2 linked regions of the Rhinolophus ferrumequinum genome follow. The protein of the gene in region 1 interacts with the protein of each later gene in a biochemical or structural test. Links are inferred from orthologs where the notes say so. Each region holds a gene or a part of one and is shown on either strand. Other genes may lie near its edges.

What was found.
Region 2: of the proteins of FBXL17 (region 1) and SUFU, one has a biochemical effect on the other in vitro, tested with the Homo sapiens proteins (2 studies listed by BioGRID, with this or other methods). The link is inferred for Rhinolophus ferrumequinum from reciprocal best matches to the Homo sapiens genes FBXL17 and SUFU.

What each region holds. Positions count from the first base shown.
Region 1 is NC_046290.1:73,024,480-73,032,632, reverse strand, and holds the start of FBXL17 (F-box/LRR-repeat protein 17), read left to right. Parts: upstream 1-4,155; 5' UTR 4,156-4,291; coding exon 4,292-5,278; intron 5,279-8,153. UniProt on the Homo sapiens protein: Substrate-recognition component of the SCF(FBXL17) E3 ubiquitin ligase complex, a key component of a quality control pathway required to ensure functional dimerization of BTB domain-containing proteins (dimerization quality control, DQC).
Region 2 is NC_046299.1:22,533,800-22,541,952, reverse strand, and holds the start of SUFU (suppressor of fused homolog), read left to right. Parts: upstream 1-2,554; 5' UTR 2,555-2,738; coding exon 2,739-2,920; intron 2,921-7,038; coding exon 7,039-7,173; intron 7,174-8,153. Other genes in the region: ACTR1A (alpha-centractin), read right to left, coding at 869-916. UniProt on the Homo sapiens protein: Negative regulator in the hedgehog/smoothened signaling pathway. Down-regulates GLI1-mediated transactivation of target genes. Down-regulates GLI2-mediated transactivation of target genes. Part of a corepressor complex that acts on DNA-bound GLI1.

The sequences.
Region 1 (8,153 bases):
CCCACTACGATTACCTTAATTCATGCTTTTACGTTCTCTTCATTGACCCTCTGAACAATCCTACTTGTCTTCCTGCTAAAAGCCCCTTTCTACTCCCGTCCATCTTCTACACGGTTGCCAGGTTATGTTCCTAAAAACTGAACATGAAGCTTACAGTCTAGTGGAAGAGACTGAAAAAAAAATGTGATAGTGAGGTATAAAGAAAATAAAAACAGGGTAAGAGGAAAGAGTAAAGAAGGGAATCGTTTTATTTCAGTTTTACTGACATAATTGACATGCAACACTGCATAAGTTCAAGGTATGCAGCATAAGAAGGGAGTAATAAGGTAGGGTGGTGACATTTGATTATAACAAATGTTAATGCCCTCCAGCCAAAGACCAGCCGAAACACACCCAGAGTCAAACATGGCTGTATTGACTTATCACAAAGAGGCAGATAGTACACCATGAGCAACTGTCTCAGGAAGGTGTAAAAGACTTGTTACAGCATTGGGCTTGTATTAGGTGATTTGGGGAAGGTTCAAGGCTTTGCTTTGGATTGGATGCCGTCAGGAAGCATAGGTAATTCTATGATTGGGTATTTTATTGTTAATCTAGAAGGTAGAAAGAAGCAACCTAGTTACAATTGGTCAAGATACAGACATCACTTGTATTAGCCAGAATGTTTGGTCCTTTTGGAGAATGTTCTTGTATTTGCCACGCTTAGACATGATTATGGAGGGATCTTGTTTTTGTCTTGTCTATTATGGTCAGAGTGGCCATGTGTAATGTTTTGTGAAATTATTTATGTTCAACAGAACACTCAGACCTAGCTGAGAACACCAGTGACACCAAGGCCTAGCTAATACCATGTTTCCCCGAAAATAAGACCCAGCTGGACCATCAGCTCTAATGTGTCTTTTGGAGCAAAAATTAATATAAGACCTGGTATTACATTATAAGATACATATTATATTAAAATAAGACCGGGTCTTATATTAATTTTTGCTCCAAAAGACGCATTAAAGCTGATGGTCTGGCTAGGTCTTATTTAGGGGGAACACGGTAGTTCTAGGCCAGCTCCTGGTTGTTCAGGCTGCTTTTTTGTTCCTAACAAAGACATCAAGTGCTATAATTATCTCTAAATAGCAATGTATAACTCTTACTCAGAAGAGTAATGAGTTCTAATGCTCACTGCAGCTCTGGTGATGATAGCAGTAGCTTACTTAATTACTGAAAGTACAAGACCTTGCTCCATGCTGCGGTAAAGAGAAAAACAGCCACTTACTTGCAGCTTGAAAGGCTCTGGTATTGGAAGTAAAAACCAGTGCTGTGAATTTTGGAAACCACTTTAAAAGTCTGTCACTTGCCTCACCTCTGAAACAAGACACAGATTACGTGTACTTCTGATAGGTTTGCATAGTGTTGGGCTGTCTGTGCAGTAATCACATGCGGAGCTTGTTAAGATCAAGTAGGGATTCTAGGGCCCTGTCACATGGCGTGTCATGCGGGGTCTCAGCTCCCGCTCCCCACACAAGAACACAGGATATGGTGAGGCCAAAAAGGAACACCCAGGGAGCCATAGGTAGGGGAGTCACACCACTATACTCAGCTGAGTTGGAGAAACAGGAAGCAGGAGCCACACTGTTCGCAACCCTCACTGTGCTGTTTGCAGGCTCAGCCACCATCTTCTTGCCAGGCCTCATTTTGCTGCTAGTGTAGCCACAGCAGTTATATTAGTAGCCAATGGCTCACTGGTTACAGCTGACAGCTAACTAGCCACAGCTGATGGCCATCCAATCATAGTTTATGGCCATTTACTACCTGAGCCCGCACCTTTCCACGTGAGGCCAAAAGCCTGGAAACTGCACTCCTGGCTCTTTGACCACAGGCCCCAACTCCAGAGAGTCTGATTCAGCGTGTTTTGGAGATTCATCCATGTTGTTTTTTCTTTCTTCCTTTTTTTTTTTTTAATTGCTGAGTAGTATGCCATTGAACGATTATACCAGTTTATTTATCCAATCTCTACTGAAGGACATCTGGTATGTTTATAGATTTTTGTGATCATGAATAAAGCTGCTATACATATTTTTGTACAAGTGGTTTTATGCATATATGCTTTTATTTTTCTTGGATAAATACCTCTAAGTGCTAGGTCATAATGTATAATTTATATGAAACTAATGGGTGTACAATAGAAAAGCTTAGAACACCCTCTCCTCAAAGTGTAGTTTTGCAAAGATGGCAAAGGATTTGTTGTAAGACCTCACGTAATCCCGGTCACTCCTAACCTCCTGTTCTCATGACAGGAACTCTGGCGCAGGAAGATCCCTCTACAGCCTGAGGGATGAAAGCTGTGTGGATAATATCTGTAGGTCAATGCAATTCGGGCAGTGTACTTCATAGTGCGTAACCGGTATGTAAAACCCTTTGATAAATTTTTGCCTCTAGGTTTCTTGGAGTTCCATCTCACTCAGAAAGGGAAATCCCTGAAGGTTGGCAGAACTAACATAAAAGTCACTTTTGACAAAGAGACCGTTATTAGCAAAGGTTTGATGGTATGTTTGGGAGAAGGCTGCGTGAGACTGGCCACTGTGGTGGGAAAGTTACACAGGCCTAAACAATGGTCTCTAAGCTGACCAGCTTTGAATCTTGCAATACTGCTTCCTCTGTCAGTTCTCTCAAGTTATCCTTAGTAGCTTTTTAAAACACCTGACTCTTTCCTTCTATCCTTCAAGCAGGTAACCCGGCTCCACTTAATGGAAAACAGAGACCCTTTGAAAGGAACCCTTTCACTTTCTTGCTAGAAACATCCACCTATCTGTGCCCATCCTTTATCACGTCTTTCCTTATTCCTTCCAATCACAGTAAAGGCAGTATCCCTCCTAAGGTACTTGCCATTCCATCTTGTCGAGGGCCTTGTATTATCTCTTCTCATCTCCTTTATACTGCCTCATTTCCCATCACTAAGCCTCTTCCAATTTCTCCCTTGTGAAAGCTAACCTCTCAACACCAGATACCGCTCTGGTTATTGCCCTCTCTCTCTCTAGTATCATCAGTCAAACCTTCTAAAGGGTTGTCTGCAAAACTTCTTTCCTCTTTCTTCCCAGAGTCTCCAAGGTCTGTCTAGAACCATTCTATCATATGCCGTAGTAGGCACGCACAATCATTTTAAAAGTAGATGATGGATAGATGGGATTCCGAGGGTGCAGACGACACTCATTTGTAGCTTATAGCCTGGGATGTTGGGTAAGAAACTATTTATCTTTCTGGTGTGTATAGATAATTTGACACATGCTTTCATTTGGAAATAAAGTTATGGTTTAGTCAGCAGTCTGCCACAAGTAACAAAGTATAAAAACAAGCGGGGAAACACAGCAGTGTTGCATTACCAATTAACCCCTTACGCGAGAACACCGGTGCTCACCACCCAAAGACCGCGCATCTACCACTCCACTGCAGAGGCAGCCTGGGACCCAGGTTGGCCTTCCGGCCGAACCCTGTTTACCGCCCGTAAGTGGCCACGGTCTCCGATCCGAGTCGGGGTGGGGGGTGTGAGGAAGAGCCGAGAGGCTCCCGGCCAATGGCAGTTCTTGAACTTACACCTACAGACGTCAGCGCGGCTGTGCAAACGGATGTCACACAACTGGCTCGGAAGCGTCTCCTCCCGCTCCAGAAAGGGGGCGTGGGCCCAGCTGCCTCCGCGAAACCCTGGGCGATGGGAGGGAGGGTCGCACGGCGGTCCCCGCGAGCCCCGCGCCCTCGCCCGCCCGCTTCCCAGCAGTCCCTGCCTAGCGGCCGTCCCGGGTGAGCAGCCCGGCGCCCGAACCCCCGTCCGGAGCGCGCCGCCGCAGCCGGCTCCGCCCCCTCCCCGCGCGGGCCGCGCGCTCCTGCGGCTCCGAGCCGTATCGCGGGCGCGCGCGCCGCCGGCGGAGCCGCAGTTAAAATGGTCCGAGCGGGACCCTGCGTTCCCCCGACCGCCGCACTGACTGACTGAGCCGGCGGGCCCAGCTCGGACTGGTCGTCTAGCCGGCAGGCTCGCTCTCGCCGTCGCGTCCCCAAACCTCGCGCCTATCGTTCTCCCGGCTTCCCTGGGCAAAGCATGTAGCCCCCGACGGGCGGCAGGGCGGCCCGCAGCTGACGCCCATCCCCGCCGTCGCGTGGGTGCCCGTGTGCGTGTGTGTGCGCCGGGCGGGCGACCCCGCCGCGGGCCGGAGGCCGAGCCAGCGAGCGGCCTGCCCCGCTGCCGGGAGCCCGACTCTCCGGGCCTCCCTCCTGCCCCGTCCCGGTCCCCCTCCTCGGGGCCTTCTATATGGGCCACCTTCTTTCGAAGGAGCCGCGTAACCGCCCGAGCCAGAAGAGGCCTCGCTGTTGCAGCTGGTGCCGCCGCCGCCGCCCTCTCCTCAGGCTGCCCCGCCGGACCCCGGCCAAGGCGCCCCCCCAGCCGGCGGCGCCCCGGAGCCGGGACTGCTTCTTCCGCGGGCCCTGCATGCTCTGCTTCATCGTGCACAGCCCCGGCGCGCCCGCCCCCGCCGGCCCAGAGGAGGAGCCGCCGCTCTCGCCGCCGCCGCCGCCGCCGCCGCGGGACGGGGCCTACGCCGCGGCCGCCTCCTCTCAGCACCTGGCACGGCGCTACGCGGCCCTGGCTGCTGAAGACTGCGCCGCCGTCGCCCGCCGCTTCCTGCTATCCTCCGCTGCCGCCGCCGCCGCCGCCGCCGCCGCCTCGGCCTCATCGCCCGCCTCCTGCTGCAAAGAGCTGGGGCTGGCTGCGGCCGCCGCCTGGGAGCAGCAGGGCCGGAGCCTGTTCTTGGCCAGCTTGGGGCCCGTGCGCTTCCTGGGGCCGCCTGTCGCCGTGCAACTCTTCCGGGGGTCCACGCCGCCTCCATCCGAGCCCCCCACGTCCCCGGAGATGGTGTGCAAGCGGAAGGGGGCCGGAGTCCCCGCCTGCACCCCCTGTAAGCAGCCCCGCTGCGGCGGCGGGGGCTGCGGTGGCGGCGGGCCTGCGGGAGGAGGCGCCTCACCTCCGCGGCCCCCCGATGCCGGTTGCTGCCAAGGCTCCGAGCAGCCACCGCAGCCTCTCTGCCCCCCGCCCTCCTCTCCCACTTCCGAAGGTGCCCCCACGGAGGCCGGCGGGGACGCCGTCCGAGCGGGGAGCACCGCCCCCTCGGCTGCCCAGCAGCAGCTTGAATGCGGCGACGCGGACTGTCAGGATCCCCGCGAAAACGCCTGCGACTGTCATAGGGAGCCGCCCCCCGAAACCCCAGACATCAACCAGCTGCCGCCTTCCATCCTGCTCAAGGTGGGTCTGGGTGAATGGCGCAGGGATGCGCGCTTTCCCCCAAGCCCGCTGCCTCCTCGGAGGTTCTCTCTCTCCTCTTCCTAAGCGCAGAGGAGGGGGTTCCCTGACCGCCAGACACGTCCCAAGGGGAGATGGGGAAGCCAATGTGGAGGATGCTTAGGGCTTATTTTTTGAAGTAGAAAAACTTGGAATCTACTGAATGCCTTTTAATTAGCGTGGGTTTGTTACGCACAATTCAAAGTTCATCTATTATTAGATTCCCAGCTCAGTGGTTTACAAACGACTCGTAGGTTTTCTGTGAAATATTTTAATCAATGACGAATTTGCACTTACTGGGTAAGGACTTTATATTAGTGTTCGAAAGTCTTCAAACTTCTTCCAGGTTTGATAGCTGCTAGTTGATGTCAATAACACTTAACTTTTTTTGAGCATTTACTGTGATCAGGCGCTGTCCCAGAGTTTTATATACGTAGTATCTCATTTAATCCTCCAATTACCGCTGTGCGATAAACATTGTTAACGTCCTTACTTTATAGAAGAGAAACTGATTTTTCAGTCCTGTGTGCCTACAGTAGTAAGTCAGGCAGAAGTGGTGTTTTCTCTTATGGAGATTACAGTCTAGTGTCGCTTGAAGAGGTTAAATGACTTTTCCAAGGCCACACATAATCGTAAGAGGCACATCTGGGGAATTGAGGCCTGCTTGACTTGAAAACCCTTTTGTTTATGCTATGTTGTATTAGCTTCCAACCTGTGAACTTTTACATAAAAGAAGGTAAGGACAAGTGTATTTTTTGTTGGAGGATGGGTGAGTGGAGAAGATATGAGTGTCCTGTGGGAGCTTTGTCGCACTTCAAGTACCAAGTAAAACTTGCAGTTTTGTCAGTGCTAGTGATAACTTAACTGTGTGATAGAGGTTGTATTAAGTTGTTATTAACAAGTTGTTTTCTCATTTTCTTCCCTCCCCCTGCCATTTCTGGACCTTAATACATGTAAATCTCCTTTTTCAGTGTGGATGATATTTAAGACTAGCCCAAAATCACTTAGATAAAAATTTGGCTACTTTTATTGTTACTGAAGTAGCTGTCATCAATTACAGTTGTTACTGTCACCAGTATACTTTGTTTGATTCGACTTTTTGCATATTTGTAATCCTGTGTTTTTATCTGTTTTATTGTGATATTAATGTTCTTGTGAATAATATAACAAAAGAGTGTGAAAGCTTAACTTTTCCTTGTGTCAAAATGTAAAGATTTAACCCGTATGGAGGTATATTTGTCAGCGGAATAATTGCCTCCGTTGTGTGTTCAGGATGTGTATTTTAGAGCAGAAGGTACTTTCTTAAGTCCTTTGAATCAGTGGGTGACATGGACAAATAAAATATCAACACATATTTGGTATAGAGGTTTGATGGATGTCTTGTTATTTGGCAAGTATACTGTTTAGAAACAAACCAAAACAAAAAACCCAGGTACTTCTGCTTTCTACCTAAACCATTATTTCTTGACGTAGAGAACATTTTAATACAGAAAAAAGGACATGATCTCATTATAAAGAGAATCCCTATAGGATAGACTTATTCTATTTGCTACATTGTTCCTTTTCACATTTTTGTTGTGAAATGTTGAAAACTTGGTCTGAGGGACACTTGGGAATTACTCCTTAGACTTGCCTTGTTTGTGTTGGAGTATTTGGAGTATTTTTTCTTTGTATTAGAAACTTGAATGAAGATTGCCTGTGGGGTTCTCATGGTCCTAGTGCTATTCAGCAACAAGTGAGGTGGACTGTCTGGAATGAATTGAAATCAAGGTTTTTCAGTGTTTACCAAGTAGAACTTTTAGGGGTAAGGCTTTTGGGGACAGAGACTCTATCCACACAGATCTTGTTCATTGCTCTATCCCCTCTCCTAAGTGCAGTGCCTGGCATTTAGTAGCACTCAGTAAATATTTATGAACACATTAATGACCAAGTGTTTAGAACTCTGGGCTGAGACTCTGGGTGAGTATGCCATACCACTAAGAGAAGTGTTTAAGAAATGTTTATATCCTGACTTGAGTTGTTCTGAGCTACAACAGAGCCACGTGATGTTTGAAAGCATTCTGGCTTTTTCTGGTGAGAAGTGGAAGTGTTTGGCTTGGAGAAGAGAATTCTTAGGGATCTAGCACATTTTTTTTTTTTTTTTTTTTTTTTTTTTTACAGTAGAGGAAGGAAGGGTCGTTGCATAGAAAGGCACAAATCCATCACCTCCATTGGAAAACATTCTTAAGAAAGTATGCTCTTCTCTCTTGATAATGGGTCAGTAGCCTTTATGATTGTGTTGCTATGCTTTTTGTACCAAAAATGACTATAGTTGTAAAACGGGATGCAGTGGGGGAAAAATTTAGGAGAGAAATGTGACTTACAGGATGTTAGTAGGGAAAGCTCTCATACTTGCCCCGTTTTTTCCAGGTATGGCAAAAGCAAAAGAGAAAAACTGAATTCTTTTTGTGGTGCTTCATGGGCAGATTTTTGGCTCATTATCAATAAGGCCTTTTCTTTTTAAATTTTATTTTATGTAAATAATAAGTATTCCTTGCTTTAAAACATTCAAATATTTCAGGTAAAGCAAAAGTGTGCCTTTACCCCTACCCTCCTATTTTGTTTCCTCTCCAGAGAGAACTAACCACTGTTACCAGTTTAGATTGTTCTTCTAGACCTGCACTGTCAAGCACAATACCCACTAGCCACCTATGGCTATTAAATTTAAAGTAGTTAAAATTAAATACAATTTGAAATTTAGTTTCTAAGTCATAGTAGCCACATTTCAGAGATCAATATTCATGGGTGGCTGGGGGCAACTGGACTGGACTTTCTAGAACAGTTCCATCATTGTTGAAAG
Region 2 (8,153 bases), on another chromosome or scaffold:
GTCCTGCCTTAACTATGTACCCAGTTTTTGTGAGGATCCAACTTGAAGGTTACGAGTATGTGAAAGCCCTCCATAAGCGCTAGAGAGCCTGGCAAACACTATGTAGGTAAAATTTCCCCCCCAGTAACTAGGCGTTCCAAAGAGGAAGGTACCTCCCTGCTTGCTTTGTCACTCTCCCTTCTTCTCGAACTTTATTAACGCTATAATTTACAATCACAGAAATAACTGAAATCTGATGGCCATTTCTGACACCACATTCTTGGGCCCCACCCAGATACACCGCCAAGCAACCCGGCCAGCTCCAGACCAAAGGAAACTTAGCCCTTCTCCACCCGCGGACCGGCCCTAGCCCATCAGGCCCTACCACTGAGAGTTCCGACAGCCAATCCCCACAGTCCTCGTGCACTGCCCCGCCCCTTAAAGAGAAACGCTTTGACGGCCCGGAAGAACGGCAAGGGCGCAAGCCAATCACTGCAGAGGGCAGCCCTCATCAGGCAAGGCTCAGAGGCGGGGTCATCGGTCAAGATGGACAGCCAGAACAGCCAATAGAGTTATCGGAAACTGGGGAGGGGCGGGTGCCGGGCGCTCACAGAGCGGTTAAGGCCCCTAAGAGTCAAGGGCCCAAGGACCCGGCTCGGACTACAGCTGTTCCCTTAATCCACTCCCAAGTTCTCTATCCCATGGTTGCTGGCCGGCCGCCCTGCGTGCGGTCTATGGGTGGAGGAAGGACGGAGGTAGCGGCGGTTGAACCCGCCTGACAGGCCAGACCAGTGACAAAGAGCCGGCGGCGCAGGCTTGAAAGCCGGGAAGCGATCCCTTCGGGGAGGAGAGCATGAGTCCCTTTAGAGAAATGGAAGACGAAACTCACGTTGTCGATCACAACAGGCTGGTTGGCGATCACATCGTAGGACTCCATGGCAGAGGAATCTCTCCTTCTGAGGAAGGAACTGCCTGCCGGGTCCGCAGCTAGCGCCACTGACGCGCATGCGCAGTCTAGCCGCTGATGCAGGGCGGCCAGGGAGCGGCCAGACCTCGCCTCGGAAGAACTACAACCCCCACGATGTCTTGCACCTGCAGTTAGAGGGCAAGGCAGTTTCGGAGCCCCGCCTAATTTAAGAGACCCATTACCCGGTGTTGCGTTTCCGACGCACAGTACCCTGGGCTTTGTAGTTTCCATAGATAAATACACGGGGATTCAGATTGATGGTTGTATTGCAAGCTTGGATCTGTAGGGATCCCTTTGGAGGGATTCGCAGTGCATGCTGAAGTACTTGTCTGTAGTTCGCTTTGGATTGATCAGTAATTCGTAGATGTTCGGATTTTACAGATCAGTTCTGCCACTCCGCACCACTTCTGGACAATATTAAGGCTACCATGTTTTTATCTGGATCCATAAGATATTAATAAACATCTATGGCCACCACACTCTAATAAAATAAATTTTAATACACACACATACGGGGAAGGACATATTCCCAGAACAAAGGAAATAAATTGCATAAAATTTGCTTTTTAGGAAAAAAATAACAACACATTTTCATTGCTTTTTGCATTTTTTCCTGGATAGGTATAAACTTTGCAACAGGCTAACACTGGTCTGAAGACTGGCATTTGGAATTATTGGTAGAGAATTGACATTGATGAGTGAGAAAATGGAGGTGAAAAGTCACTGCTTTCAAATGATTTCAGTGCATTTTTCTCTAGATTATTTCCTCCGCTGCTTCAAGTTGCAGGGATGCTTGTAGTCAATAGCACTGGTAGCCTGGACTCCTTTCTATTCGTCTTTTGGAATTTCTTCAAGATCATTGAGTGGGAGATATTACTTTTTGAAAAGTTATTGTAAACAAGAAAATAATTCCCAACCCGGTGCCTTAGAAATTAAAAATTCTCCCAGTTACAGAGAGTCAAAGTAATGGAGAATGGCAGGCCCATAGTAGATAATGAACATTGGTGTTCCTCAAGACAATCTGCATATCTCTGCCTAAAACACAACAAAGAAGAGATTGTCATTAACATCTATTAAATAATTACGAAGTTTCTTTAATTGATCCTAGTTTACCAAACTCTTGTTACTTTCCATCAGAATTCCATAATAGGTATTTTGACATACGACCCCTGAGTTTGGTGGTGTTGGTGTCAGTCAATACGATTAGTGGACATTCCAAGGTGTAGGAAACATTCAGATTTAAATCTATTTAAACTAGTGCCAAATGGAGGAATGAATTAATCTATTGTCAAACTTATGTTTAAATCCTTGTTAGCGTGTCACCCGACCAGTGATAAGCTCTTCGTCAGCGCACTTCCCAGTGCTTATGTGGGACCCTAGCACCTCAAAAGGATGGCTCCACATCTGTATTTAAACCTGGGCTCCTCCTAACACTAGGGGGAGGCCAAGAGCCTTGGGATACCCCTAACACAGGGAGAGGGAGGCGGGACCTATTGTCAAGGCACGCAGTCCCACGTGTGACTGGCACAGACATTAGCCAATAGAATCTGGGATAGGGCGCGCCGGTGCCCCGCCTCCTTGAGCGTCCAGCGGCCCCCCCAGGCAACCTCTGGCTATCTCTGCCGCGGCGACGGCCTGGGCGGACGGTGCGCTGTGCGCAGGCGCGAAGCCTAGACCTCGCTGCAGCCCCCATCGCCTAGGGGAGTCGCACCCTCCAGGTTCGCCCGCTGGCGCGTCAGTGCTCTGCCGCTCGTCTGCCCTCCCGGGTTCTCCCAGCGCCCTACGCGCCCGGATGGCGGAGCTGCGGCCTAGCGGCGCCCCCGGCCCCACCGCGCCCCCGGCCCCTGGCCCGACTGCACCTCCGGCCTTCGCCTCGCTGTTCCCTCCGGGACTGCACGCCATCTACGGAGAGTGCCGTCGTCTTTACCCTGACCAGCCGAACCCGCTCCAGGTTACAGCTATCGTCAAGTACTGGTATGCCCTGGGCCGCGCGGGGACACCAACTGGGCAGGCTGGGCAGGGTTAAAGCACCAGGGACGAAGTAATATTCGGAGGAGGAGGAGAAGAATGGTTAAAGCACTTGGATGAAGGGCTTCCTGCTGCGAAGGAAGGAGTTGTAAATGGGGACAAAGGGGTTAACGGAGCCTGTGGGTAGCGAAGGGTTAACGAGGGCGGGGAGGTTGAAGGGTTAACTGGAATTAGGAGAATAGAGTGAATTGGGAGTGTGTAGGAGCTGAGCGGGGAAAGATAGGAGAGTGGGAACTGTAGACGTGGTGAAAGGAGGGGGCGCCTGTAGGGGGTCATTAGTGGGCGAGGGGAAGCCAAGGGGGGGCAGCTGAAGTGGGATGGGGGAGACGAGGCGGGGCCTGGGGAGCATATGAGAGGGCTTTGGAGGAGCGCGGCTGGAGGAGCTGCGAGGGTATGAGACTGCACAGGGTAGGGGTGGGTCTGTGGACTCGGGCTCTCCTGCCGTTTAGAAGAGCAAGTTGTGAGCGTTATGCTTGTGAAGAGATGAGGAGGTCTCCTTTTGATACTTTCCCAATGAACTCAGACATCATATCAGTGCGGTGCTTTGGGGTTTGAAGTTTCACGGAACAACTTTTCCTGATAAACTTTCTGCTTACTCTGCACAGTTTTTTTCCTGCAGAGCTTCCTCTGCCTCTGCAGCTGCTTTGCTTTAAGACATTGGCTAGAACAGAGGTAGGGTCAGGGAGATCCATGATTTGGCTGAGGATGGAAGGGGACCACAGTAAATGCTGAAGACCTGGGACTTGGACAGGGAGGAAAGAAGGCAGTGAGATGTTGAGGAGCTTCCTGGCCACAAGCTTCAGGATTTAGGAAGCAGTTTCTGAGAGAAGCTGAGAGTAACCCCCAAGTAGTTGTTAAAGATCAGACCTGTTTACAGATGGGCTACCCTTGGAGTAGAAATGGTCTTTTTCAGTTTCTCATTCCTGTTTGCAACCTATTTCTTCCTGCAACCTTTGGGCAAAACTGGTGTTATGGGGACTGTTGGAAAGGGTCTGTCTTCGTGGTCTTTCTCAACCAAAAGTTGACGGAGGAATTGGTTGAATCTGTCCAGAACCACATTCATGCGGGCACTGTATTAGATGACTCCCTTCATTGAGTCCTGGAAGACTGTTCAGGCAGCTGCTTGCGGTGTGGCCTAAAGGGCAGATAGACTCAAAGAGGGAAGTGCAAAGAGTGGATGCCTTGCTGGTTACCTCTCCCTTTAGAACTGAGTCTCCTCCGTGACAACATCTTACTTCCTCCGGAGATGGCAGAAGCTAGGCTATAGGACTTAGGCCAGCTAGCTCCCGGTGTAGACGGGAGCATGTAAAGAGGCTGACAGTGTGAAGGGCCTGGGGACCTGCCACCTGCGCCTTAGGTAGGCCATGGGGAGCAACCTGCCTCTGTCTGGTAGCCAGGAGGAGGTGTGGCCAGCGATACAGTTCTTTCTGGCAAGCAAACTGTTCTTTGGTTGAGAGAAGTTTTTGAAGAGAGCTTCTGACTGAATCACAGCTCTTGATAACTTAATCACCCATTCAAATCGCACCTCTATACTTAAATATGTATTGTGATGAACTATATTGGATTGTGTCATGAGGAAAGTGGGCCTGGTTCTGCCATGCTGTTTGTTCAGGCCTCATTTGAGTGTAAGGAGAAATCCACTGACAGACTTGGGCAACTTTTTATGTCACCCATGTGGCCAGGAGGATAGTGTTGTATGGAAAAGGTATTGAAGCACATGCAAAGGACTAAGACTGGTTTGGGCAACTGTTTTTTTTCCTTCTTGCTGCAAGCTTGTTAACCAGCCAGGACTTATCTTTAGATGGACTAACATGTAATGACAAATAACGACGATTTACAGCACTCTGTGAAATTAGAAATGCTGCCTAGACGCCGAAAAATATGAGGGAACAGCTCAGTGACTAGTTCTTTCTAAGGTTTGGCGGGGTTTGCATAATTAAGATCCTGAAATGAATTCATCGATGTCCCTCATGTTAGAGATACCACAAGGCCTCTTCAGTTCTCATGGCAGGATGATGGACCCAGGCTGCCTGAGTCTGGCTGTGGTCCAGGGTACCTTGGTATTCCTTTTCTCGTGACAAAAGGGTGGCTCTTTGGCTAGTGGCCTCTAGCTAGCAAGGACGCTAAAAGCCAAGACTGTAGTGAGCAGGGAGCGGACGCAGAGGGGCAGAGCCTGTACCTTGCGGTCACTCCAGTCCTGCAACTGCCTTGGGGAGTGAAGTCAGGTGTTCAAGGTATGAAGTTGAGGGATGCTCTGGGTCCTTGGATAACATCTTTTTTCTAAATGCACAATACGATTATTTTCTACATGCTCATGGCCTACCCATCCTGTCTCTGAGTAAGTAGAACAGAAGAACACTCTGCACTTGGAGACTAGATTGATTTTGTCTGATTCTTGGTTATTCCCTGCAGTTGGAGTTTTAAGGTAAAACCTCTCTCCTTGATGCAATACCTCCTGGGACACTTGGCCAGAAAGAGGGCTGCAGTAGTGTGGCAGATGAAGCACAGAACGGGGAATGCAGTTTTCCCACTTGTTGCTGGATGGACCAAGGCTGGAGGAGGGTCAGGACTGGGAATTTGCAGTAGGAAACTGGAGCAGATATGGAGCCTGTCGTCACTTCCATCTATTCTGGGGTTCTGCAGCTATCATGGGGTACTTCCAGGGATAGCTACCCTTTTCTTTCCTCCCTCCCCCGACAAACCTCCCTAAATCTGACTGGTTGTGGGATTAGTCAATTGATTTTGCAAAATCAAAGTTAAAGAAAGATATGGAGATTTGTCCCTAAGCTATTTGTAGTGACTTTCTTACATGTTCTATAAATAACTTAGCTTTCCTAGCAGAGAATAAGGATTTCTACAAAGGCAAATAATATCCTGACAAAAGAGGATGAAACCAGACCTACTGGTTTTAAATAGTGTTTAAATTGTGTGGCACTGGCATGCTTGCTGGGATCACACGTAACACATCTTTTATTTGGTTGTTTGCGTTCCTTTAGCATATGATCCCAATTGCAAAGCGCACTCCATCGATGTCCCAAGGGCAGGCAAAGTTTTTGCAGTCTGTGGAATAGTCAGATGTCCGAGGCAGCTCAAATGCAGAGTGTTTGTGGGCTAAATGCAGACTTCCTTCCGCTGATGGTTTCCATTTCGTCTGTTTCTCAAGTTTACCAAGTTTCCCTATCCATTCTGAAGAAAAGCAGGATTTTTTGAAAGAACACTAATTACTCCACTAACGGGAACCCTTATTGAATTAAATCCTCAGAGTGAGATAATGACTAAATCTCTTCCTCAACTGCCTCTGTGTTGGAAGTATGGGGGATGTTTAATATGGTCCTGAGAGGCCCCAAATCATTTAATGTTCCAGCTCCACCTTTGAGGCTGCAGTTTCCTGGGATCCTCTTGCGGATGCAAGCCCTCACAGGGCTCTGCAGTTATCTGTGCAGAGCTGAGCCAACCTAAGTTTGGCCTTTGTCACTTGCATGATAAAAGACCAGCTTTGCTTTGTGGGGTGTGGGCAGGGGTCTGGAGGCATTGGGTTTGTTAAGAACAAACTGTAATTAACATAGGGCACAATATAGTCTTTCAGGAATTAGCTGTCTAAGAGACGGGAGTGGAGTTGAGCCTCTTCTTCCAGAAACAATGCCCTTAGGGAATGCTCAGGATGATCTTTCTACAGAGGCCAATGGATTGACTGAGGCACCTCTTGCCTCGAATTGTGGAATGTTTCCAGGCACCATGGAAGAGAGACAATCCCTGTCAACCCATTTAGGATTGGTCATTTGAAACCGGAGGAAGCGAAAGGGGCAACCACCCAGTCGGTTTTATATCTAAAAGAGGTCCTACCTGTTGGGGAGCGGAGAAAGGAGTCTGTTGTGCTTTCGGAATTGGGCAATCTCTAGTTGCCCAGCCCTTGGCTTATCCCAGAGAGGTGTGGCCTCCCTTTAGTTACCTTTCACCCCAGCTTCCTGCAGAATGGGGCCTTTTTGGTTTGTAAGGCAGAGCCCCTTAGCTTCACACTGTCTGCTTTCAGGCTTACCCTGACACCCCTGTTTTGTCTTTTGCAGGTTGGGCGGCCCTGATCCGTTGGACTATGTTAGCATGTACAGGAACGTGGGGAGCCCTTCTGCCAACATCCCTGAGCACTGGCACTACATCAGCTTCGGCCTAAGCGATCTCTATGGCGACAGCAGAGTCCATGAGTGAGTGTGTGCCATTTGCCCACCTTCCACCTGTCCATTCCTTAGCCTTGAGCCTTATTTCTGAGGTTTTCCTGGACAGAGCTGGTAATGTCATAGTCCTGTGGGGTTGGCACTTCGCAGGTGGAACTTCTGGGTTTCTGTCCTCTGCCTGTATCTACTTGTGTCGAGGGGGGGTCCAAGTCAGTACCCAGGCTCTGCTCACCTGGTGTGGGAAAGGGTCGATGATGAGTGTCAGGTTTTTCCCAGTGTGCTCTGGTGTTTGAGCTCAGAGGTCAGGCAGTATAGCTATGACCCAGAACTCGTGTTGACTCCTTTAAGTCTACTTCTCTTTTTCCCTCTAGCTTATTAAGAAAAATTTTAGACATAGGTAATGTTGAAAGAATTTTATAGTGAACACTCAATCTGCCCACTACCAAGATTCTACCATTAACATTTTACTCTACTTGCTTTATCACGAATATATCATCTCTATCCATCTGACCTACTTCCTCTTAACCTGCAGTTATCTGTGCTCAGATTAGCCACAGTACATTTTCTTATTCTAGTCTGTCTTTCATTTGCTGCCCTGTACACTTCTAAATCCTACTTTCCTCCCCTACTTCCCTCTGTAATCACCAAATTTAAGCAAGTTTTAATATTAAATTAAATGTAATCAGCCTAGTAGTGAATCAGCTAAAACAATAGCAACAGTAATAATAATAAAAGCTGACATTTATTAAGCATTGATTATGAGCCAGGCATTGTTCCAATCACTTTATATGTCTATATATTAATTTTATTTTTATCGCAACTGTATAATGTTGATAGGTACTGATATTTGTCCCATTTTATAGATGAGGAAACTAAGACACAAAGAGATTCTATAACTTGCTTAAGGTCACACAACTTTGAATTGGTGGAGCCAGGATTCTAATGCTGGCAGTCTGGCTCTAGGGTCCATACTATTATAACTGAGCTCTATTGCCTCTTAAACAATTATG